Linked DNA regions of Arabidopsis thaliana. The protein of the gene in region 1 interacts with the protein of each later gene in a pairwise test. Each region holds a gene or a part of one and is shown in the gene's direction. Other genes may lie near its edges. The genes, in order: MYB49, AT1G10585, AT5G43520 and MGDC.

Region 1 (6,325 bases):
ATAACTCTAAAAGCAAGGATTTAAAAGATTTAAATCTTTAATTAAATATTTTCATTAATAATTAATTAATGTCAGTGACATGACATTGTAAATAAGTTCAAATACAAAATTTATTTATTTAAACAAAAAACGTTAAGTAAGAATAATATTTATTTAACAAAAAATTTTGTTTTAAAATATTGTTAACAAATATGTTTATGCTAATTTTAAGGGATTGATTTGAAGTTTGGTGGGATTAAATTTGATTGATAATGTGATTGACAATTTAAATCAAAAATTTAAAGTAAAATTAATTATTTTAGAAAAAAGATTTAATGCTAATGGCATTAGATTGTAAATAAATCAAAGTCTAGGATTTATTTGCTAAAATGGCTGCAAAAATGTATATATAGATGACTCGTTCAATTAATTTGGATATGGTGTCTCTCTATAGTCTGTGGTCTATAGTCTATAGTCTCTAGACTATTTTGTTTGTTTGTTGAATATATGCCAAGAAAGATAAAGAAAACAAAGCATAGGATTTGTGACAAAAAAAAAAAAAATAAAAAAAAAATAAAAAAAAAAAAAAAAATAAGCATAGGATATAACATCAATAAAGGGGCAGAAATCAAAAGACAACAATTTTTTTTTTTTTAAAGAGTCAAAAAACCAGTACACATAATTGGACATTTATGACAAAATTGTTTTGGGACATTTATAACTACTAATAGTTTTTGCTAAGGTATTCGTATTATGAGGTTAAACTAAAATAAAGATGATGTTACTGATTTTTTTTTTTTAATTAATCCTAACTTTGATTTTAAGATAAGTTAAAAAATATGCTATATATCCGAATATGAGAAAAATCCAAGAGAATAATTAGTTTACTATGCTGCTGGCAATTTTTTTTTAGTTTACTATGTTGCTAGTGCTTGCTACCACACTTGTACGTGTTCAAGGCGTCGTGGATATATTATACACCATGAAATCTAAGGTTAGGTGTTTTTTGCTAAATCGTTACGTCATTGTTTCTTAAAAATAAGAATTAAAGGTTAAGTTACGTCTGTTTATTTTGTGTGTGTTTGTTTATAATTTGTTTATATAAAAGAAATTGGAAAGATAAATGAGCAAGGTGATTTCGATCATTAGTTTCAGTCCATGTCTTTGTCTCTATGGTCGGCCATCGGCCTTAGAGGCGTGAAAGTCTTAAACAATAATAGAACTTCATTCGGAAAAAAGAAAAAATAACCCTTAATATTTAAATGTAATTTAGATCATACAGTATAAATAACTTCTTATACCAAACTAAAATGAAGATGGTAGCTGATTAACGAATTTACATGCGGAAGACTTAAATAATCGATAGATTAGTTTATGAAAAGACTTGCATAATCGATAGATTAGTTTATGAAAAGACTTACATAATCGATAGATTAGTTTATGAAAAGACTTGCATAATTGGTAGATGCAAAGTTATAAGAAAACTGATAAATCTGAAACGAGGCTTGAGTTCATCAAAATTTCCTGTGACAGCGATTATTTTAATGTTACTAAGACGATTGGGTTGTTGGGATTGTTGTAGATAAACCAGGCAATAACATAATCTACCAATAACAATGTATTGTATTTCCTTTTAGTTGAGAAATTAAATATTTGACCACATTATCTGAATTTTCTTGTCGTCTTAATAACTAATTATCATTATTCATTTTTGGCAGGATCTTTTTTTCTTTGTTAAAGGGTCTACTTTTTTTTTTGATAAAGCAGTCTTTTATTTTTAAAACATGCATCACAAAATTTACCTTCATGAATCAATTCCCTGTGAGACAATGATATGATTTAAAGTTTACATGTAAAATATTCTATACCGTGGAAAAACACTCATTTCATTGTTATATAACGAAAAATATGAATTATATGGACGCAAAATAACTATTTACTAGATATATCGATGTTATAGAAATAATATTATATTAAAAAAAACGATATATACGGTTTAGTGTTAGTGTAAGTTTATATTTTTGGCACTTGTTGAAAACGTTATGATAACTTGTTTATTATCAACCTAACATGTTTTATACGGCTATACCGCATAAAGTGTAGAATTAATTTTACCTCTTTATATGACACAATAATATTTAACATGTAACAAGAGCAAGGGGTTACTTGTCAAATACGCCTATGCACTAAACAATGATAAATTGGTCATTCTCCTAATTTAAAAAGTCACTTTATCATTCTTCTCTAATACCAAACCTTTCTATATAATCACTCTTAAACCGGCCGATAACTTGTTTTCCAAATAATCTAAAACTTATACTAACCAAATTTAACTAAAATAGTAATAATTTCTTACAAATATCAAATCAAAAAATTTCAAATCCCTGACTTGTCAAATCAACCATGTTTCGGACTGAGACCAAAGTCTCTGCAATTCAATGACACATGTATATTATATAGTATTGTTTCATTAATCACACATGTATTTTGACCGTTAACATGCCTTGTTCTTTACGTATGTTGCACTGCAACAACGCTTTGTCGTTAATTTACCTAACTTAGTAAAAACAAAATACATGTCTTAGATTATCAGTTATTCAAACTTGTCGTTATGTAATTGTTATTGAAGTAAACAGAAACTCTGGTGCGATGCAGGACGTTACTCAAACTGAGTCACTTCGATCGGATGTCTTAATTCAAGCAGGACAATCTAGCTTTGCTACTGAAATTTGATGACACGATGATATATATCTATTTCCAACCGATGAAGCACACTGGAGATCCGTTTGGATTTTTATTGTTTTTACTTTTTTACACTATCGTAATCATTCTTTACATATTTCCTTTTTATTTTCTCCTTAGAAGAGAAATTATTTGTATACAAAACTTAGAAGGCTAAATAAGCATATTTATTCAGTATAATCACTGTAACCACACCTTATTCAATAAAATTCTTATTTTGAATCTGTCTATTTATGTATATGATATTGCTATAGTGATGACAGATGAGTAAACATTAAACATACACGCAACATAGCTATCTTGAAAACTGTTTGATGATTTGAGACAAAGAGACCAAAACAAATGGAACCTTCTTCACATATCTATCACACGTCCTCATACACCACCCATATTCTGCCATGTGTTCTCACTCCATCAATATTAATTATTTTTAGGGTTAATAGAGATGGTTTAGTCTCATGCTTTTTGTTTATTACTTTTTTTCTTTGGTCAGAGCTTTTTGTTTGTTAGTAAGGACTTTAAAGATAGAGAGTAAAAATTACTCTTTTGTTTTGTCAACATAATAAGCAGTTTTTTTCTACTTCATTTTGTCTCCGTATTTCATCAAGAAAAGACACGTATTTAGATAGATGATGGAAGGGCGGTACCAAATCTCCTTGACTTGACTTTGCATGTACCATATATATATTTGTATATACATAAATCATAATTCATGAAGAAACCAAATTTTCTCTGTAATCAAGTTCTCAAAGCTTATTAGCTTCTCTCTCTAGTTCTCTCACATATAACATTTGAAAAAGATGGGAAAATCTTCAAGCTCGGAGGAAAGTGAAGTGAAGAAAGGGCCATGGACTCCGGAGGAAGACGAGAAGCTCGTAGGCTATATTCAAACGCACGGTCCCGGCAAATGGCGTACCCTTCCCAAGAACGCCGGTAAATTCCTACCCTAACGCATGTATATATACAAATAGCTAAATCCTATCAGCTACAATATGTTTTCCTGCGTTTTGTTTTACGTTTATGTTTAAAATTTACTAATAATGATTATCATGCTAGATCATGTCAACGTTAGAATTAAAATTAAAACAATCATGGTTCTTATTCGTTTTTCTTGGTGTGAATCTTAAAAGGGTTAAAAAGATGCGGGAAGAGTTGTAGATTGCGATGGACGAATTATCTAAGACCCGATATCAAGAGAGGAGAGTTCTCTCTTCAAGAGGAAGAAACCATCATTCAACTTCATCGTCTTCTTGGAAACAAGTTAGTCTATCTGCAATTTTTCATTTCTTCATTTAGTGTATAATTGTTTACATGTATGATTAAATTAAGTAAAAAATGACCTAGTTTTCCACTACTACACCTACTTCATTGGACTTCCATGTCTTTACATTTTTGTTATAATATTACTTGCATATTTTATTTTATTCAACTAAAAGACAAGAACATAGTTAAGCACTATACCAAGGTCAAATGTCTAAAGCTAAGCATGCAATCTTCAACTCGCTGCAGCTAATATCTTAACAAGTTAAAACTTATACTTCTCTTTTTGATTTTAACTTAAAATCTATAACACGATATTTTTTCTTCTATAGATGGTCCGCAATTGCTATTCACTTACCAGGAAGAACAGATAATGAAATCAAAAACTATTGGAACACACATATTAAAAAGAAACTCTTACGAATGGGGATTGATCCGGTGACTCATTGTCCCCGCATTAATCTTCTCCAGCTCTCTTCGTTTCTTACCTCATCATTGTTTAAATCTATGTCACAACCGATGAATACTCCATTTGATCTCACTACTTCAAATATTAATCCTGATATCTTGAATCATCTCACTGCCTCTCTCAACAACGTTCAGACCGAATCATACCAACCAAACCAACAGCTTCAAAACGACCTAAACACTGACCAAACCACTTTCACCGGTTTGCTCAACTCAACACCACCCGTTCAATGGCAAAACAATGGAGAATACTTGGGAGATTATCACAGTTATACCGGTACAGGTGATCCATCTAATAACAAAGTCCCTCAAGCCGGAAACTACTCATCAGCCGCATTTGTATCCGACCACATTAATGATGGTGAGAATTTTAAGGCCGGATGGAATTTCAGTTCATCAATGCTAGCGGGAACTTCATCGAGCAGCTCGACACCGTTGAATTCGTCTTCGACTTTTTATGTCAATGGTGGAAGCGAAGATGATAGAGAGAGTTTTGGTAGCGACATGTTGATGTTTCATCATCATCATGATCATAATAATAATGCTTTGAATCTATCATAATGTCTTATTTATTTTGCTTCTTGATCTTATTTGTTTTATTTTTACTTTTTTTTAATGGGGGTTTGTAATTGTGTTACATACTTTGTAATATAAGAGCTTAGTCTATTATTATGTTGACTCTTTTTTTTTTTTTTGTTCTACTTTTTTTGATCCGAAAAGGTTTCTATTTGTTTACACTTAAAAAAGTTATAAAACCTAAGAGGATAACAGCTAGTGTACCTTTATCTTGACTTTGTTCTTCTACTAATTGTTTTTTCTGCTTCGAAGAACTTTACATTAGTCGACTCTCAAAAGGTCATAAGATGGTTGATAAGTGTGTTACGTACATACTTAGTATTTTAAGAGTTAAGTGTATTCTTAATCTTGGATTTCTTGTGCATTTTCTTCCACTAATTGTTCTTATTTTCCAATTCGAAGAACTTTCCATTCGTTATACCTAAAAGGTCTTCAACTTGTACGAAAATTTTCTGGTGTTATAGTTTTATTATTCTATTTGCACCATCTTGATTTTGATGATTAAGAACACATTTGGTGGAGCAGGAGACAATAGTGATTATATTTAATTGGTCATAGACTCATAAAGGGGAGTTTTCAATTTCATAATACAAGAAAAAAGAAATAATCGACTTGTTTTCCCTTATGATTGGTTTGAAATCAGCACAAATAAATAGTAATACACCTAAAAGGAAGATTTAAATAGTTATCCACTATGAGAAAATGTGTATGAAAGATTAAAATAGAAAATATATAGTCAACGTTGTTCGAAACACCAAACCCAAGTTATAAAACTGTTCATACAGTGAGATGAGATATATCAAAAATAGCTACTATCAACTATAACATAAATTAAGTAGTAGCTAGATGCTACTTTGAAATTCTGTAATTGACTGAATGACACTTATGTATGTGTATAGAGACATACACATCATAGTATTTTATAAATATGTGGTCCATTCTAGTCTCTTGGATTATTGGAAAAAAAAATACATACGCCTAACCATTCATTGAACCTTGCGGCCATAAAAATACAATAAAATCATGCAATGATATGAAATAAATAAATTATATACTTGTACTTATAGATATTGTATGAGAAAAAATGTGTATATTACTGGGGAGAGAATTTATAAGTAATAATTAGTTAGTTTTTACAACAACAATTTTGGAAAACAAAGAGAATTCCATAGGGAACACAAGAACCTCCTTTGTATTTCTTCATCACACAAATCTCTCTGCACGCTATTAAGTCTATTTGTAGTTACATGACATGGTCGTTTGGCCATACGAGTCATAACTAATTAACTATTAACTCATA
Region 2 (5,941 bases), on another chromosome or scaffold:
AAGACATGGAAGTAACTAGGTTGTGTGTTTTTATTGGCACCAACAGTTGCCAGTGCCTCAACTTATAGATCAAGCGGTATCATACATGATCCAACTGAAAGAGAAGGTAAACTATTTGAATGAGATGAAAAGGAGAATGTTAGGAGGAGAAGTCAAAAATCGCTCTGAAGGGTCGTCTCTTCTGCCAAAACTCAGTATTCGTTCACTGGATTCGATCATAGAAATGAATCTGGTTATGGATCTAAACATGAAAGGAGTAATGTTACACAAGCTTGTGAGTGTTTTTGAAGAAGAAGGAGCTCAAGTGATGAGTGCTAATCTTCAGAACTTGAATGATAGGACCTTTTATACAATCATAGCCCAGGTACATGCATGTGTCATGTTTTTTTTTTTTTTTTTAGCAGCATCTCTTTGTTCCATATCATTAAAATATAGTTTGAACTTTTTTTGAAGGACTATATATATATGATAAATTAATAATCACCTAAATGAATATTTGCAGGCTATCATATGTCGGATCGGGATTGATCCATCAAGGATAGAAGAGAGATTAAGGGATATAATCTCATGATTAATTTTTTGAAGCATTATTGAATCCCAAATCACAAGTCTTTTCTTAACAAATTAAATGTGTTAGTTCTTTAAACATGAGATTATGAGTATTTTTAAGAGTGAATTGGTGTAATAGCCCTATTGTTGTTTAAGTTAAAGAGAATGATCAAATGTCTGAATACCATTTCCTCAAGTATATGAACGAAAAAGCCTCTCACATCATCTTCAAAATCTCTTTATTTTCTCTTTTCTTTCTATGCCTAATCTCTATTACGTTTATAGAATCTCATGTTTAAATATAAAATATATTATCTACTTTTATTGTCAAGAACTCTCAAATTTTCTTTCATTGAGCATTTTAAGCTCAAATATTTTATTACAGGCGCCGTCTAAAATAGTCGTAATTGATATTTGCATACATAGAATAGATAGATGTTATGCATCTGATGACTATCTTCAAAACATGTTCAAGGGCATAGGCATTTGGATCCACTTTTGGAGTTTTTCATATTGCGATAGCAAGGACATTCATCTTTGTTTTCTCCTAAAATCACACATGGTTAGATTTTGTATGTGAATATAGTTAACTAAAACTTAAAAAACATGTATATATACACGACATAACTAGTAAACAAATCTTTTTTTCTAAATGTCTTATATAAATTGGACAGTATATATAGATCGATAACAAAAATTTCGCTACAAATTTTCTAACTATAAGTAATCATCCTTTTCTAGCCACAGAATTAGTTACAAGTAATTATAGGCTTAACATTTTAAAATTGGGCTAATCTGTATTTCTAGTCACGGATTTTCAATGGCTATGAATTATGATAGTTACCAAATGACTATTCTCTTCTTGTACGAATTCAAATATTTGAAGAAGGAAAAAAAGAATAACATGTGGAAAATGCAATAAGGATATAATTGTCCCTTACTCAGTTTCTAAGCAAGTGGTCAAGCAGCGAGACGATATATACACAGTGTTAGTATCATATTGCGGCTCCTTTTACTTTTTATGTCAGTTTGCTCAGTGGCAAAGTTATGACCAACATCTACCTGGAGTACTCCAAGACTCAACAAAACTAGGCATGTTTAATTTTCTGTCTTTGTATTCACCTCCGGTGAACGTTTAGACGATCGGTCCATGTAGATCCCCTATCCGGTGAACGATGTCGGCCATACGGCCAAAGAGAGTTGAGGGCCTTTAATAATTTATGTAAGGAATGCCGAATGTGTTGTGTCCTTTTCTTCTATGATAATGATAGCTTGTTGAATAATCTTAGGTTATGGCGCCTTATGATACTTTCCTCGGATAATGAATACGTGCACCAAATTAATTGAACATGATGATACTATTTGATTTAGTGGTCCCGATTCTATCAGTATACAAAACAATTTTCCTTTTCTATTTGTTGATAGAAACATATATAGTACTGTTGTAAGGAATTCATTTTTGTCTACCGTGGCTGTTGACTATTTTACGCCATTGAAATGATTTTTGATAATAATTTTCTCCAAACCTACTGTAAATCACAGGACTTAAACTCATGGTTAGTAATCTGAAAGAAGAAGAATCATATCTCTGAACGTTAGGAATCTCATCTCACACGGTAAGCATGATGCTATCTAAACTATGTCTTTGAACGTTAGAAATCTTACATCGAAATTATGATGCGTCCTAGTAATGTGTCAACCCACCAACAAATCTAATTTTTTTTTTAATGATAAACAACATATCTAATTGTTTTGAAACTTTTGTATCTTTAAGAACGTGGAAATTCCGAAGTAAATAGTAAAATTTACTTGGTAGGAAAGATGCATGCATCTTATTAATTTAGTGTGTAAGCTCACGGACGCAATCACAAAAGCCATGACTTTCTTCCAAAACATCCCTTTCATCTAAATCACGTAGCTCTTTCTCTCAAAGTTGAGATTTGTGACTCTGTATCTCCCGGCCCTCTCTATCTCTTTAACTGTATATAAAGAGAGATGGATTTGAAAAGAGAAACTTGTACATAAAAGCTTAAAAGAAAACAAAAAGAATGGGGAGAGCAAGAGAAATAGGAGAAGGAAACTCATCGTCGTTAAGGGAACAACGAAACCTCAGAGAGAAGGATCGAAGGATGCGCATGAAACATCTCTTCTCTATACTTTCTTCTCATGTTTCTCCCACTCGCAAGGTCCGTTTTTTCTCTCTAACTCTCCCTCTCTCTCTTTCTCTCTCTATATATATCTTATATTAAATTGTAGATGTGTTTTATGCGTATATACAACAATACAAACATTATCTACATAATTACTGTAAGATGTACGTTTTATTCTAAAGAGATAATATTTTGATTAATTGAATAGGCAGTTGTCCCTCTATGACCGTCCATATTAGCTCTCTTTTAAGTACGGTGTCTAATTGACAAATAAATGATTCACGTAGCTAGGGTTTTTACGGTTTATTTATATATATTGAATATAACCACATTCATGTAAAAGATTAATGAAAGTAATTATCTTGGGGTTTTTTTTGGGATCTAAACAGTTACCAGTGCCTCACCTTATAGATCAAGCGACATCATACATGATCCAATTGAAAGAGAATGTAAATTATTTGAAAGAGAAGAAAAGGACATTGTTACAAGGAGAACTCGGGAATCTCTACGAAGGGTCGTTTCTTCTACCCAAACTCAGTATTCGTTCGCGGGATTCGACCATAGAAATGAATCTGATCATGGATCTAAACATGAAAAGAGTAATGTTACACGAGCTTGTGAGTATTTTTGAAGAAGAAGGAGCTCAAGTAATGAGTGCTAATCTTCAGAACTTGAATGATAGGACCACTTACACAATCATAGCCCAGGTACCACATCCACACGCATATGTTTGTATAATACACACGTATATGCATGTGTCATGTCTTTCGTATAAATTTTTATTACATATATTTGCAGGCTATCATTAGTCGGATTGGCATTGATCCATCAAGGATAGAAGAGAGAGTACGGAAAATCATCTATGGATATATATATTTTGAAGCATGAAATCCCAAATGATAAGTCTACGCTAACGCTAGTGTGTTTTTTCACACATGTGTTAGTTCTTTAAATATGAGATGAGTAATTGCTTTTGAGTTCGATTATGATAAATATGTTGACCGTCAACATAAGAAACCTTAAAACGTTGTCGTTTCGTTTTTATTCATCCCGGTTTAATTCAGTTTGGCTTGGCGTGATTTTAGATTGGTCCAGATTTGCATAATTTTAACCACCGAGTAAGACAGTGGGATGTAAATGTCAATAAAATACACTATTGGGGTAAATGTGAAAAGAAAAAAATAGTAAGAGGCTATATTTGAAAATCTAAATATCGCACAAATTGCAACCCTTATTTTAGATTTAGGAATTTTGAAACCCTTGTCGAAGAGAAAAGAGGCAAAATCTCAGTATAAAGTTTCTCAAACACTTGTGGTAAGAGAGCAAAATCGTGAGAGATGGATCTGATTCAATCCTACGAAGAAGAAGACGAAGCCGTTGCTTCCTCGCCGGAATCTTCACCGCCTCGTATGTTAAAGGCGAAATCATCGGCGCCGGAGGTAGACGATACGGCACTAGCTCTCACGGTGGCTAACGTGAATCAATCGAAATCGAAGCCGATTGACCCGACTCAACACGTCGTCTTTTATAACCCTACCCATGATCAGCTGTGGGCTCCGATGTTCGGCCCCGCGCATCCGTATGCGAAAGACGGGATCGCTCAAGGGATGCGGAATCATAAGCTAGGTTCTGTGGAAGATGCTTCGATTGGATCGTTTGGGTTTGAAGAGCAGTACCATACGTTTCATAAGTGCGGTTACGCGGCGGATCCGTCTGGGATGAACTACGTCGGCGATGTTGAGGCGTTTAAGAAGAACGATGGTCTTTCGGTTTTTAATATTCCTCAGAGTGAGCAGAAGCGGAGGAAGATTGAGAGGAGCAAAGAGGAGAGGGAAGGGGAAGAGAAAAAGGAAGAGATTGAGCCGGAAGCTGAGAATCCGGAGACGGAAGCTTGGCTTAGGAAGAATAGGAAGAGTCCGTGGTCGAGGAAGAAGGAGGTGGTTCAGGGAGAGTTGACGGAGGAGCAGAAGAAGTATGCGGAGGATCATGCCAAGAAGAAGGAGGAGAAGGGACAACAAGGTGAAACCAAAGGAGAGCATTATGCGGATAAGAGTACCTTCCATGGCAAAGAGGAGAAAGATTATCAAGGAAGGTCTTGGATTGAGGCTCCTAAAGATGCTAAGGCGAACAATGATCATTGCTACATTCCAAAACGTTTGGTTCATACATGGAGTGGGCACACGAAAGGTGTTTCCGCTATTAGGTTCTTCCCAAAGCAAGGACATTTGCTTCTCTCTGCAGGTATGGATTGTAAGGTTAAGATTTGGGATGTGTATAACTCTGGTAAATGTATGAGGACTTACATGGGTCACGCCAAAGCTGTGAGGGATATTTGCTTCTCCAATGATGGGTCTAAATTCTTGACTGCTGGGTATGATAAGAACATTAAGTATTGGGACACGGAAACTGGCCAAGTTATATCGACTTTCTCCACTGGGAAGATTCCGTATGTGGTTAAGCTGAATCCGGATGATGACAAGCAGAACATTTTGTTGGCTGGTATGAGTGATAAGAAGATTGTGCAGTGGGATATTAATACGGGGGAGGTTACGCAAGAGTATGATCAGCACTTGGGGGCAGTTAATACTATCACATTTGTGGACAATAACAGAAGATTTGTCACGTCGAGCGATGATAAGTCTCTCCGTGTTTGGGAATTTGGGATCCCGGTGGTTATCAAGTATATCAGTGAGCCTCATATGCATTCTATGCCTTCCATTTCTGTTCACCCGAATGGAAACTGGCTTGCTGCACAGAGTTTGGATAACCAGATTCTGATCTACAGTACCCGAGAAAGGTTTCAGCTGAATAAAAAGAAGAGGTTTGCAGGGCACATTGTTGCCGGTTATGCATGCCAAGTTAACTTCTCGCCAGATGGACGGTTTGTAATGTCAGGAGATGGTGAGGGTAAGTGCTGGTTTTGGGACTGGAAGAGCTGCAAAGTGTTTAGGACTCTTAAATGTCACAATGGAGTATGCATTGGAGCCGAGTGGCATCCTCTGGAACAGAGTAAAGTCGCAACTTGTGGTTGGGACGGCTTGATTAAGTACTGGTATGTAACCTTCTTCCAGACTATTTTGTTTATTTGTTTCTCTTGTCATGATGTGTGGTGTGTGCCTTTACGTAACAGCTGCATAATAGTTATTATTGGTATATATAATTGTAGCAAAGCTAAAGTTGTCATCTGAGTATCCTTGCATGTAACATGTGTCTTAATTCTTTTGGAATCAGATATCGTATAT
Region 3 (5,550 bases), 4.5 Mb from region 1:
GCTTGTATAACATCCAATATTTGATTATTGATTTGTATTTTAGGTTTGGATTCTTTTACTCTAACTGGTCATTACAAATGAGGATCCGCGCCAATTATGTCATCTTCAACATTTTTTTAATTTTTCAATGACTTATGTTTCCAGATAAATTTTATGTTAAGTGCACACTATAAAATTTTTAGATTATTATACATGTTCATTATTGTAAAAAGAAGGGCATGGATGAACATTAAGCAGTAATATAATTTGTTTTTTATTAATGTTTAACAAAATTACAATACCTTATTTAATATCACTAATACTGTAACGACAAAGTTTTCTTTCAAAACTACATGTACGAATATACTTACCCCGTCTCATACAAGCTCTTGCGCAATCAAAACAGTAACCAATTCTCCCAATTTTAAGTTCTTGGTTCAGTGAGCGTGGATCAAAAGGACTTGCTCTTGGACTGAAAGAATATGTTCTCTCTTCATCACTAGATCCATTTATAAGTACTGATGTACCTATCAAATTTTCAAAAGATATATCAAATTCTTAAACAGTTTTTGTAATGATTATAATACTGACACATTATCCTAATTAAATAATTTAAACTTACATGAAGAAACAAAAATTAATAGAGTTAAGAATATAATAGGCAACTTCATTTCTTGGTAGAAATTAACCAATATCACAAAGAAAATATATTAAATATTATTGTGAATCGTTTTTCTTTTGTTTTGCTCTGGAGTATTAAAGCAATATTTAGTCATATTTATAGACTCTGTAGATAAATATGTTATATAAAGAGTTAATTTTCAGTTAAACGTTTTATTTTGTTATAAAGTAAAATTTAGTAACATATTACGTTTGTTTTTGTTTTAAAATTATAATTTTTTAGTTATTAAAATCTGTTATATATTGGTATAAATAGTAATATACATCTAATAAGTGCAAACAATTACATGTTTAAAACTTTAGATTTCAAAAATTACTATTGATGCCCACATTTTATTTAAAATATTTAATTCGAGGAACTAATAAATATATAATATAATTTGATTAAAAATATCAAAAAGTTCTATATTATATATATACTAACTCATGATGCCTATCTTGCTTTTCTAACAAAATCTTAAATCACTTTTGGATTCCTTATTAATACTTATGATCTTAAAGATGACCAAATCAATTAAATTCTTATATGCCTCGAATCAATCCAAACTCTTTCTACATATGTATATCTTTTAGTTATAAATTGCTTAAATTATTTATTAATAAGAAAATCTTTAAATCACCTTATTTCATTTTTTTTTTTGAACAAACACCTTTCAGTTTTTATCTATAGAAACAAATTATTCTTCAAAGTCTTATAAACAAAAGTCTTTTAAGTTGTAACCTGATTATTAATAAGATTTGGTATTAAGTTTTTGAGATTGTTTTACCAAAAAAAAAAGAAAAAAACAAGTTTTTGAGATTTAAACGAAAAAAACCCCTCAAGTATCGATAAATCCATTTTAAAGCCCTCAGCTATATTATTAATGAAAAAACCCTTAACTAAGAGATTTAAGTGACAAAAACCCTTAAGTATTAATCAATTTTTTTTACTTTTTGTGCAGCATCTTCAATATCTAAATTAGTAATAAATGATGATAAACTTGGAGACTCTTGTATAACGAAATCAGAAAAAGAATTTTTCGACTTTTAAAGATATATACCTGAAACTGCATAGATTTGAAACTTTTCTAACGGGGATGACACTATCTTTAAACCGTCAAAGTTTTTAATAATATTCCAATACATGATCAAATTTCCAACCATATTTGAAATTTAGATCTTGCATATATATTAGCATTTCTTAATTTCCCTTGATTGAACTGGATACAGTTTTAAGAAAAATATAAATAAATAATGATGCTTGCATGTAGTTTATATAGAATACTCACTACATCATCACTTGAAGCACCACTTGAATGTTTATATTCACATTATTTGATCTATGCATGTTGTTTTCTTGTTGCTTTCTTTTTTTTGGTAGGGAATTGATCTGTACAGAAGTTTTCGTTTGTTTTAAGACTTAAAACTATGGTTAACCAATTAACCTTTTTTTTTGGTGAGAAGAGGGGAGACAACCGACAATATATTACTCAAAACTATATTAAACCAATTAACCTTATCAAATGGAAGTTGCACAAGATAAATTAGATAATAATTAGCATAGACTTAGAGACGTTGACCTCATTAAACCTTATCCTCTCTACACACACACATATATATATTATGCGGATATGCCCTAGTTGCTATAAAACTCGGATGTTAATTAGAATATTTATTTCTACAAGTTATCTTAATCTTAGAATAATAAACACCAAAGCGCGTCTAAATACTTTTATTTCCTAAACTTTGAATCCCAAATGTCAAAGTCTCCTATACAGATGTCAAACCTTATAATTAGCGAAATAGCATAATACAATGACAACTTGATTAATATAATCAATAAAACGAAACGCATACTCATTAAACCTACAATTATAATGAAGTCCTCTTGCAGTTTTTGGTATATAAAGTTCCACACCCTTCTCCCTCAAAACAACCAAAACCAAACACAAATCAATAACATACTAAATGGCTTCAAGAAAACCAAAGGCCAAACCGGTTAATCGCCAATCTGTGAGGCACCCAAGTCACAACCATCCGCTGCGTGTCTTTAAAGCCAAAGAAGAGGATGAGACCGCATGCTCTGGCTGCGAGCTAGAGCTGACCGGGCAAGCTTTCAAATGTATAAAGTCAGAGTGCGATTACTTCTTACACAAGTCATGTTTCGACCTTCCTAGTGAGACCAATAACAAGTCTCACCAGGACCACCCTCTGACCTTGCTTCATTCCCCACCAGATGATCGGTCTGTCTACACGTGTGACGCGTGTGACCAATACGGATCTGGATTTTCTTACCATTGCTCAAACTGCAACTACAGTCTTCATGTGGGATGTGCGTTTATCCCTGAAACCGTAGATCGTGAAGATCATGAACATCCACTCACTCTTCTTTATTGCACACCGTGTAAAGGACGTGAAGACACGTACTTCACTTGCAGCGCTTGTGATGAAACTATTTCAGAAGATCTATGGATGTATTACTGTAAGGATTGTGACTATGGAACACATCTACACTCATGTGCGGCATATGAAGACCAAGGGAAAGAAGAAGAAGATGAAGACGAAGAAGGAGAAGCGAGTTCTCCAGCTTCTAGGATAAAGTCGTTGATGAAGGCGCAAGACGAGATGGCGGCTATGCAGCTAGAGGCACGTATTGAGAATGATGCGAGGAATGCTGCACTTGATCTGTGGGATGAACCAAAACGTAGATACTATTGGTGATCAAGAAGGGACGAATATATTTATGAATATTGATATTTTTCTTTGCGAAATATGGTTTCCAAAAATAAAGAAACAATAGATATATTACTCTTTCTTGTTTGGTTCTTGTTTATTTGTGTGGATTTAATCATAAACACTCGTGTGTAAGTTGTTTATTTTGCAATATGAAGAAGAAGAAAAAATTTAAGTTGATTTGAAGATTTGTTTTCTTTCATTTTCTCTATCGTAACTCGGAAGAGGTTTAGGTAAATATGTAACATAATCAAACATATTGGAACCTTATTTATCTAGAGATGTGACGGTGATTAAAAACTTTGACCCTTTAAAAAACTTTCAAACCCGTATTTTATATAATAAAATAGATTTACAGTATAGATGAGCAAAATAAATTTGTTTAAATGTAAAATGTTTAGAAAAAAACTAACAGTTTCCTTGATTATAATGAATAAGTTTAATTTTTCAAAAATATTTTTTTATTTGTCAAGGACTTATGTTTCCCAATAAATTTCATGTTTAATGCACACTACAAAACTGTTAGATTATTATACATGTTCATTATTGTAAAAAGAAGGACATGGATGAACATTAAACAGCAATATTTTTTATTATTATTAATGTTTAACAAAGTTACAATGCCTTATTTAATATCACTAATACTGCAACGACAAAGTTTTCTTTCAAAACTACATGTACGAATATACTTACCCCGTCTCATACAAGCTCTTGCGCAATCAAAACAGTAACCAATTCTCCCAATTTTAAGTTCTTGGTTCAGTGAGCGTGGATCAAAAGGACTTGTTGTTGGACTGAAAGAATATATTCTCTGTTCATCACTAGATTCATTTATAAGTATTGATGTACCTATCAAATTTTCAAAAGATATATCAAATTTTTAAACAGTTTTTGTAATGATTATAATACTGACACATTATCCTAATTAAATAATTTAGACTTACATGAAGAAACAAAAATTAATAGAGTTAAGAATATAGAAGGACACTTCATTTTTTGGTAGAAATTAACCAATATCACAAAAAAAAATATGAAATGTTTTTGTGAATCGTTTTGGATTTCGTTTTTATTTTGTTTTGCTGTGGATTATTTAAACAATATTTAGTCATATTTATAGACTCAGTAGATAAATATGTTATAAAAGAGTTAATTTCATTTAAACGTTTTATTTTGTTATAAAGGAAAGTTCAGTAACTTATTTCGTTTGTTTTTATGTTTAAATTATAATTATTTAGTTATTAAAATATCTTATATATTGGTATAAATAATAATATATATCTAATAAGTGCATACAATTACCGGTTTAAAACTTTAGATTTTAAAAATTACTATTGATACCCACATTTTATTTAAAATACTTAATTCGAGGAACTAATACTTATATATAATAGAATTTGATTGAAAAGATCAATAATTTCTATATTATATATATACTAAACCCCAAACCAAGCACTAAGAAATATCGCAATGAATCCTACACTTCTATATCTGAAGAATCGAATCCAAACCACAAACTGAATGGGTACCATTATATAATTATATATATAAAATATTAATTATTTTTAGACTGGATGTAAGCCAATGATCCAATATTACAATTATAAATCCAAAAATATTAATTATTTTTTAGATCAAAATAACTAAAATATCCAATAATAACCAAATTATATGAACATTCTTAGTTATATTTATCAAAATTTAAGCAAAGTTTTTTTAAATTTAACCAATTGTTTTATCAGAATATTCGATATTTCGGGTACCCGAACTCGAACAAAACACCCATGGCTAGATTTTTATTTTGTGATAGTTGTTGACATCAGTATATCTAAAGATTTCATTATAGCTGGTCTAGTTAGGGTTACAAATTTGTTTGCACAGCCCACTAAAATCTCCAATGTTTTCTCACAATCTTAATGTTGAGGATTTTTTATTGAGTGCTCTATGTTGTTAATAACGAAAAATGTAGTAATTTCCAAATTAAAGAGCAAATCAACTAGTGCAATGATACATGTTTCTATCTCTCTTAGGTGATCCGAGAATAGATTTAAAAGTTTTTTTTTAATAGGTAATTTTATCATTAACTAGCAACGTTTCCCTTTTGTAAGGAGTTATCTTTATAGTGATATGGAAGAAATAATAAACACCATGACACAAGAATAATTGTAAAACACCACTAAT
Region 4 (8,028 bases), on another chromosome or scaffold:
GGGACCTGACAAACTTTCCGAGAATAGCTTGCAGAGCCCTGCATCTTCTTCGTGTGGCTCAAGAGGGACCCGACCTGCGATGACCTGGAAAGAAGTTAGATATTCTTTTGGATCTCCCTTGCCGTTGTAACCGGGAAGTTTGAAGTCTCGGAAATCGCGAATACGAAGCTTCGAGATTCTCGAAGTGAAAGGCGTTCTCCTTGTTGCTTCAATAACTTTTTCCACTTCGGGGGCCGACGTGGTAGCCTGATGAACTTTTGCGTTCATTGCCCAGATTTGATCTTGAAGGTTCTGGAGCTCCGAGTTGACTGTGTTTGGCTCTTGTCGGGGATTAGAAATCGGGAGTCTGATGGCGGGATCCAGTGGAGCCGGCGTCCGAGCTATTGTCCCATCTGAGACTGCGGCAAGGCCTGCTGGTGAAGATTGTATGACTGGATTCTGTGTCGACGTTGCCCCGACGTCAACTGGAGGTGAAGGAGATTGCTGGCCAGAAGCTTCCTGCGAATTCTGGACGCTTGGGCTTGCGACACCCTGAAAGTTGAGTCGCGTTCGAGCTCCAGTAGTCCGCGCCGTTCCTGCAGAAAGAGAATCAACCCGCTCGGCGTATGCATTGTGCGCTGATCTGATCTCGGAATGGTTTGCTGCTAAAGCTGCGAGCTGGCCATTGCAATGTTCTTAGAAAAACACGAACTTATCGGAGAGTGTCGTTACTGCGAGCTGTTGCCGGTCGGTTTTCTCTGACAACTGCTGAAGCAGCTGCTTGATGTCGTCGAGGGTGGAGGTTTAGTCGCCGGAACTCTGACCGTCGGTGTTGCTCATGGTGAATTGATCGTTGCTCTGAAGTTAAAGACTTAACTTACCCTCCTTCTAGCGCCAAATTGTGGATGCCAGAATCCGCAATTAGAATTTTGTGGTTGTTTTTGTGAGGATCTTAAGTCTTGTCGGTCGAACAATGATCAAATGATAAACGGATTTGTGTATTTCAGTATAGTTTCAGTATAGTTTCAGTACAAGGTGTTTTCGTCCCCTTTACAAATGACAATTGACTCTTATTTATACTAATACAACGAATCAAATGACTTAAATGATTAGCTGGTTTCACGCCGCAGACCTCGCCCCTATTAACTTCGTACGTTGCGGATCAACAGCTCGGGCCTTTGAATGCTTATCATTCAAGTCGATATCCAGCCGTTACTAAATTAATTCCGTATCAACTTTTTGAACCACTGGGCTTTCATTGGGCTCTAAGGCCGGGCCCAATCCTTGTCTGGAAGCCCACAAATTGCGGGTCGAGTCGAGCACAAGATCCGACATCCACAAACCATTACTTTTTGCTGGTCTCGGGTTTTGAGCCGGGATCCACAAATCCTCCCAAACGGAGATGGAAGCCCCTGAACCGACTTTTTTAATAAGTCCTTTACAAACCAGAGATCTAACTGAACAAATACTTCTCCAGCCATAAGACGGAGAGTATGATTTTATATTTTCCAGAGGATTGGATTTCCTAAAATATCTTCGTTTAAAAACCTTGGCAAAGAGAGAGTCCGGAAACGAAACTAGACGCCATAACTGTTTCGCTAATAATGCAGAGTTTAAATCATCTACATCCCGAAAACCTTAGTCACTTCCCAATTTACTAGTACACAGTTTGTTCCAAGTCATCCAGTGTATACCTCTAGATTCACCATTCGAGCTCCACCAAAATCCTGCGACCGCACTTGTTAGTTTGGAAGTAATTGTTTTCGGGAGCCTAAAGCAATACATCACATAAGTTGGTAATGTTGCGGCTACTGATTTAATCATCACTTTTTTCCCTCCTTTTGATAGGAATTTAGTTGACCACCCATTTATTCGACTGTAATCGATCTTTAACAACGGAAAAGATCTTTGTCTTAGATCCCCCTAAACTCTCAGGTAGTCCGAGATAGGAACCCATGCCTCCGATATTATGTATACCCAAGATCGATTTTATTTCTGCCTTTATAGCTTCATCTACTTTATGCCCGAACTGAATCGATGATTTTACAAAATTTATCATATGTCCTGATACCGCTTCATATTGTTTTAGAATACCCAATAGTTAATAGACTTATTATACCCACATTAGTCTTAATTTCTTTGAATGTCACTATATTTATTTTTTAAATTTATATTTGTAATTATGTTTATCGCACATAAATTTTTCATATAGTATTAAGTTTTCTTGATTTTACTACTTCTAAAAAAATAAAATGAGATTTTCAAATTATATTATACCAAATAAATTAAATTGTGAAAATTGAACCACAGATTTAAAACATAATGTACAACTATTTCATATAAAACAACATTCTTTTCTTTAGGATAGTTACAGTAATATACCAAAAATCAAATTTAAAATAAATTAAAATTTTAATAATGTTCTGTAATAAAGAGAAAAATATATAATAAAACACGTACTAATGCATCATAAAATACACATTTTATGTACTAATAAGTATAATAAACATGTTATCTTAACTAAACATAACCAAGTAAAAAAAACATACTACTATATCAATAAAAGTAAATACATATACCAAGTAAGTTGAAAAAATAAAACTATTGCTCAGTTATTTATATATAGATTATATTAAATTGAAACAACAATTAACTTTCTAACGCAAATAATCAACTCGCTGTGTACCGCGGGTCAATATCTAATGATGTCATAATTCTCGTAGACAAATAGACAATTTTTCCATATGAGTACATTTGATGCAAAAGTAGACATTTGAACTGAAACCTATTTTTGTTTACAAACATTCATATCAACAACTAAACAAAAATCGAAACTAACTTGAATCAATTAATCAAGTATTAAATTAATATGAAAAGTGGACTCAAATTTAACTGAATCGATTTAAACCTAATCAAACCAGATAATTTTTGATTCTAAACCGGTTTACCTATGTCACAAAAAGGACCATCCATGTCATATTTTTTTTTTAATTTTTAAAAAGTCAAGTTGTTTTAAATATACTTGAGATGCAAAGAAAGATCCGAATCATATATCCGAAGATTCCGAAACCAAAGGCGGATCCGACGGCTCCAAGCTGCCATATTCCCTTGTTACTCTACCACTAAATTAAGCCCCACATAAAACAATAAAGACACGAAATATAAATACCTAAGCAAAACTATAGGAACCGAAAAAAAAAAAAAAGAATAATTCCAGCATCATTCCTCAAGTAATTTAAAAACAATTATTAAAAGAAGCAACTTGGTCTTCCATTTTTTTTGCTACAAAAAATTTAAAACCCCAAAAGAACTTAAAATCTTTTACATAAAGATCACCAACCAGCCACATAGAAAACACAACCATCGGTCTTCTTATTATTCTTTCTTCAACACCAAATAGTCATGATGAAAGTGGTGTCACCTCGTACACGGTCGGATTCAATCACTGAGAAGGTGTTTCGACGAGTCTATAGCAATTTTAACATCTCAACAGTAGAAGATGAGTATATCCATCGTCAGAGATCAAGTGATTATGAGAAGGAGAGTCGTCTAAGGAAGAGAGGGTTAGAAGACAAAGAAGAAGTTATGGAGATGGAGCAGATGGGAGCAGAGAGGATCAAAACTGTTCTTATTCTCATGAGTGATACCGGCGGTGGCCACCGTGCTTCAGCCGAGGCCATCCGCGACGCTTTCAAGATCGAATTCGGAGATGACTATCGGGTAAAAATATTAATATTTTTATTTATATCTTCATTTTCATTCTCTTTGCCTTGAATCCAACGCATAGGGTTGAGCCAATAATATGCTTCCTTAACCATATATATAACGTACAAAAAAACGAAAAAATATTGCATAAGCAACAAAACTTAATCATACTTTTATCTTTTAGTTTCTGTGTAAAACAACAACAATATTTTGAAATATTCATTTTGAAAATTTCAAAGCTTGTAAATATATACCTCGAATAATATGTATTTATATTATGACAAAATTTTCCAATAGATTATGTTATAATATATCATAGAGGAGTTTCTGATTCTAATGAAATCTCAGCCGTCAATATTAAAGTTGTCGCAGTAGTCGTCTTGAATTTGAAAACGAAAAGAAACAAATATCTACTTGGAAGTTTTGTAGCCTAGTATGAATCTTGGAGTTTGCCAGGGTGTCGGAGATACGAGCTGACGTCAACAATCTATGTCTTAAAACCTGTCCCACGTTCCATTTATTTTGTTTGTCAATAATGATTAAAAATTTGCATTATTTATTTCTCTAGCTCTGACTCTTTGATGTTACAATATTCTCTCTAGGAACTAATGTCATTTTTTTTATAACTATAGATAATCATAAAAGATGTTTGGAAAGAATACACTGGATGGCCATTGAACGACATGGAGAGACAGTACAAGTTCATGGTGAAACATGTTGGTCTTTGGTCTGTTGCGTTTCATGGTACTTCTCCCAAATGGATCCACAAAAGCTATCTAAGTGCTCTTGCCGCTTATTATGCCAAGTACTTATATGTTAACCTTCTTCTTTTTTCGTTATCATCCCTTAGTGTTACGAATTAGCAATATAATGGAGATTATTTCTTCTTTTGGTGAACAGAGAAATAGAGGCCGGTTTAATGGAGTACAAACCGGACATTATTATTAGCGTGCATCCTCTGATGCAACACATACCATTGTGGGTAATGAAATGGCAAGGACTTCACAAGAAAGTTATTTTCGTTACGGTCATCACTGATCTAAACACTTGCCACCGTACATGGTAAGATGACATTACTTCTATATATACTAAGTACTTAAAATCAGTTTAATCCACGCGTTAGCATATTAATCCTGCATGTTTACTCTCATGACTTTTCATTTAATAAAATATAGATTATATGCAATAATATTTAAAATTAACCAGTGTTTTCACGTCCGACCCAAACCGTTCGGTTCGAACGGTTAATCAGCAACCCAAACACTTTTTCGGTTTAGGTTTAGTACTATAGCCAACAATTTTAAACCCGGAAAAATCCACAAAAAATCGCCATTAACCCGCGACCCAGTGAACCGGTTGAACTGGCCGTGTGTGAGTTTTAAAAAATATATTCGATTTTTGAATAAAATATAGCATTTTAGACTCTATTCAGCTATTTTTAGAAAAAAAATTCACTTTTTAAACTCATTTGATTTTTTTATATTTTGGTGAAGTCTTCACAATTCCGCCTAAAGTGACTGAAACCGAGATTAGTTGTTTTAATTCGCAATGTTTATTAATTTATTTTCGTCATTAATGATCTCCTACTATATTTGTTACGGTTTTAGTCTTTTAGACTTTTAGTTAAATTGAAAACTTTGATTGTTACTGTTTGATTTCATATTTTGTTAAACATAAGATAATTATTTTTGTTTTATTTTATATAATCTCTATTAATATTAAATATATTCAATAAATTTTATTCAATTGACCTGTGGTCTAATTCGGTTAACCCCATTAATCGGTGATCCAGAAGAAAATCCGGTTCACTGTCCGGGTCAGGGTTTAAAACATTGAAATTAACCTAATAGCTCAAAATGAAATCTTCGATTTTGATGTAATAGGTTCCATCATGGAGTCAGCAGATGTTATTGTCCGTCCAAAGAGGTTGCAAAGAGAGCATTAGTAGACGGCCTTGATGACTCTCAAATCCGTGTCTTTGGCTTACCTGTCCGCCCATCTTTCCCTCGCACTATTCTCAACAAGGTAAATTCTGTCCAATTCATACCATTTAGAGATCTTTTTTTTCCCAATCAAGAGAAGATCAACAATAGCTATTATTATGTGTGTTTGTTAGAATGAACTAAGGAAGGAACTTGAAATAGACTTAAATTTACCTGCGGTTCTATTAATGGGAGGGGGTGAAGGAATGGGTCCGGTTCAAAAAACAGCTCTAGCCCTTGGAGATTCTTTATACAACTCTAAAGAAAGTAATCCAATAGGACAATTGATTGTCATATGCGGCCGGAACAAAGTCCTTGCTTCTACATTAGCATCTCATGAATGGAAGATTCCGGTCAAGGTACAAACTAAAATATAATTTTTTTTTTACTTCTACTATATACTTATATACCAAGTAACTAATATATACTTGTGACGTTTATAGGTTCGAGGGTTTGAAACACAAATGGAAAAATGGATGGGAGCTTGTGATTGTATCATCACTAAGGTAAGTCATATCTTTGAATCCTACCCATTCATATAAATAGCACTAAGATTTTATGACATAAAACAGGCTGGTCCGGGTACGATTGCGGAAGCACTGATTTGCGGCCTCCCAATTATCCTCAATGACTATATTCCTGGACAGGTATACATTTTTTTGCTTCACCTTAGGGATTAATCGGCCACATAAACTAACTCTATTGTATGTGACTCCCAAAGGAAAAAGGCAACGTGCCGTATGTTGTGGACAATGGGGCTGGAGTTTTCACCCGAAGTCCCAAAGAAACTGCGAAAATCGTGGCGGATTGGTTTAGCAACAATAAAGAGGAATTAAAGAAAATGTCAGAGAATGCTCTAAAGTTGTCGCAACCTGAAGCCGTGTTCGACATTGTGAAGGATATCCATCATCTATCCCAACAACAACAACGTATTCCACTTTTTAATGAATTTTCCTATTGAAGTGTTGTTTGTTTAGACTATAGGTTTCTCTTATTTCATGATTCTTATTAATGTATATTCTCTAGTGGTTTGTCATTCTTTTATCAGTCTTTTTCAACATTTATTTATGTATTTTATTATATAAAATATGGTTTTCAATGTTAGTAACTCATATGATTGTAACACGTGTCAACTTCATCGATCTCAGATTTTGACATATATAAATAAAAAAAATTTGTTTTATTAAATTTAAAAAACAAAAAGATAATTGTAAATTATAAATTTAAACAGTTTTCAAAATGTAAGAAGATAATTACAAGGAAACTAACTTATTATATAAAGTACGGTTTTCAAAGTTAGTAATTGATTATGCTATGTGCAAATTTTATCGATCTCAGATTTTAACACGTGTAAAACAAAATTTTCTTTTATTAAGTTTAAGACTATAAAAAGACAATTGTAAGAAATTATATATTTTAAAATAAGTATAAGGAAACTAAAACATTTTAGAGAAGTAAATATGATAAGTTTTAAAAAAATATATGTATCTTATTAAATTAAAAATAGAAATTAAAAAATCATTTACTAATTCTAATTGAAGCTACTAATTCTTAATCAAAATTGATTACTTTTTCCTACAAAATTTAAAAAGGATTTAAGAAATTATACAATCTTGTTATATAAAATACCATAATTATGGAAACTACAATCAATTATTAATCCTAAAAGAAAAACGATTCAAAATACTCATATCTATAAAAATAATAGGTAGTCTCCTACTTTTTCACCAAACCAAAATACTCTTCAAAAAGACCACAGTTGATTTAACGTCATACTAATGGTAAAGATTTTTTGTTAGTTTGTGGATTTTTATTTTAGTAATTTGTTAACTCATTTATTATTAACTAAGATATAATGTTTTTTTCTTTTTGTTAACTCTGATACAATATGATATAACTAGTGATGTTAATATGGGTATGCAAACCTCATTTAATTAATGGGTTTGTGTAAGAGAAATTGACCCATTTAAACTCATTTAGAAAAAAATTAAATAGGATTAAATGAGTTAACCCAACTAAACCCATTTATTAAATGGGGTTTCACACAAATAAATGGGTACCCAATTAAGTCCATTTACTTTTTCATTTTATATTAGTAAACCTTATTAAAAATGTTAATGTGTTAATACATTAAAACTAAATTATTCTACTTAACTTCACTTTTTGGTTTAAATATTCAAATCACGTTTTCTCGTCAAAATCATAAACCGACGTTTTTCCCCCAAAATCACAAAAGTTGTTTTCATACTAAAATCACAAAAAGTGTTTTCCACCAAAATTGAAAATCATGTTTTCCCGCCGAAACCGTAAACCGACGTTTTCCCACCAAAACCGTAACCACATTTTCCCGCCAAAATCACAA

What was found.
Region 2: the proteins of MYB49 (region 1) and AT1G10585 interact in a two-hybrid assay, tested with the Arabidopsis thaliana proteins (one large-scale study listed by BioGRID).
Region 3: the proteins of MYB49 (region 1) and AT5G43520 interact in a two-hybrid assay, tested with the Arabidopsis thaliana proteins (one large-scale study listed by BioGRID).
Region 4: the proteins of MYB49 (region 1) and MGDC interact in a two-hybrid assay, tested with the Arabidopsis thaliana proteins (one large-scale study listed by BioGRID).

The regions. Positions count from the first base shown.
Region 1 is NC_003076.8:22,015,042-22,021,366, reverse strand, and holds MYB49 (myb domain protein 49), read left to right. Parts: upstream 1-3,305; 5' UTR 3,306-3,521; coding exon 3,522-3,654; intron 3,655-3,851; coding exon 3,852-3,981; intron 3,982-4,313; coding exon 4,314-5,010; 3' UTR 5,011-5,224; downstream 5,225-6,325.
Region 2 is NC_003070.9:3,491,761-3,497,701, reverse strand, and holds AT1G10585 (basic helix-loop-helix (bHLH) DNA-binding superfamily protein), read left to right. Parts: upstream 1-2,457; 5' UTR 2,458-2,597; coding exon 2,598-2,735; intron 2,736-3,017; exon of another isoform or gene 3,018-3,046; coding exon of another isoform or gene 3,047-3,088; coding exon 3,089-3,406; intron 3,407-3,497; coding exon 3,498-3,587; 3' UTR 3,588-3,932; downstream 3,933-5,941. Other genes in the region: AT1G10586 (basic helix-loop-helix (bHLH) DNA-binding superfamily protein), read left to right, coding at 47-364, 503-571; AT1G10580 (Transducin/WD40 repeat-like superfamily protein), read left to right, coding at 4,037-5,751.
Region 3 is NC_003076.8:17,483,249-17,488,798, reverse strand, and holds AT5G43520 (Cysteine/Histidine-rich C1 domain family protein), read left to right. Parts: upstream 1-2,489; 5' UTR 2,490-2,607; coding exon 2,608-3,360; 3' UTR 3,361-3,568; downstream 3,569-5,550. Other genes in the region: LURE1.5 (Putative membrane lipoprotein), read right to left, coding at 283-506, 602-650; LURE1.4 (Putative membrane lipoprotein), read right to left, coding at 3,998-4,221, 4,317-4,365.
Region 4 is NC_003071.7:4,740,007-4,748,034, forward strand, and holds MGDC (monogalactosyldiacylglycerol synthase type C), read left to right. Parts: upstream 1-3,155; 5' UTR 3,156-3,381; coding exon 3,382-3,699; intron 3,700-4,260; exon of another isoform or gene 4,261-4,316; coding exon 4,317-4,489; intron 4,490-4,584; coding exon 4,585-4,746; intron 4,747-5,567; coding exon 5,568-5,709; intron 5,710-5,800; coding exon 5,801-6,025; intron 6,026-6,109; coding exon 6,110-6,172; coding exon of another isoform or gene 6,173-6,208; exon of another isoform or gene 6,209-6,212; coding exon of another isoform or gene 6,213-6,218; exon of another isoform or gene 6,219-6,238; coding exon 6,239-6,313; intron 6,314-6,387; coding exon 6,388-6,627; 3' UTR 6,628-6,804; downstream 6,805-8,028. UniProt on the Arabidopsis thaliana protein: Involved in the synthesis of monogalactosyldiacylglycerol, the major structural component of photosynthetic membranes and in the chloroplast envelope biogenesis.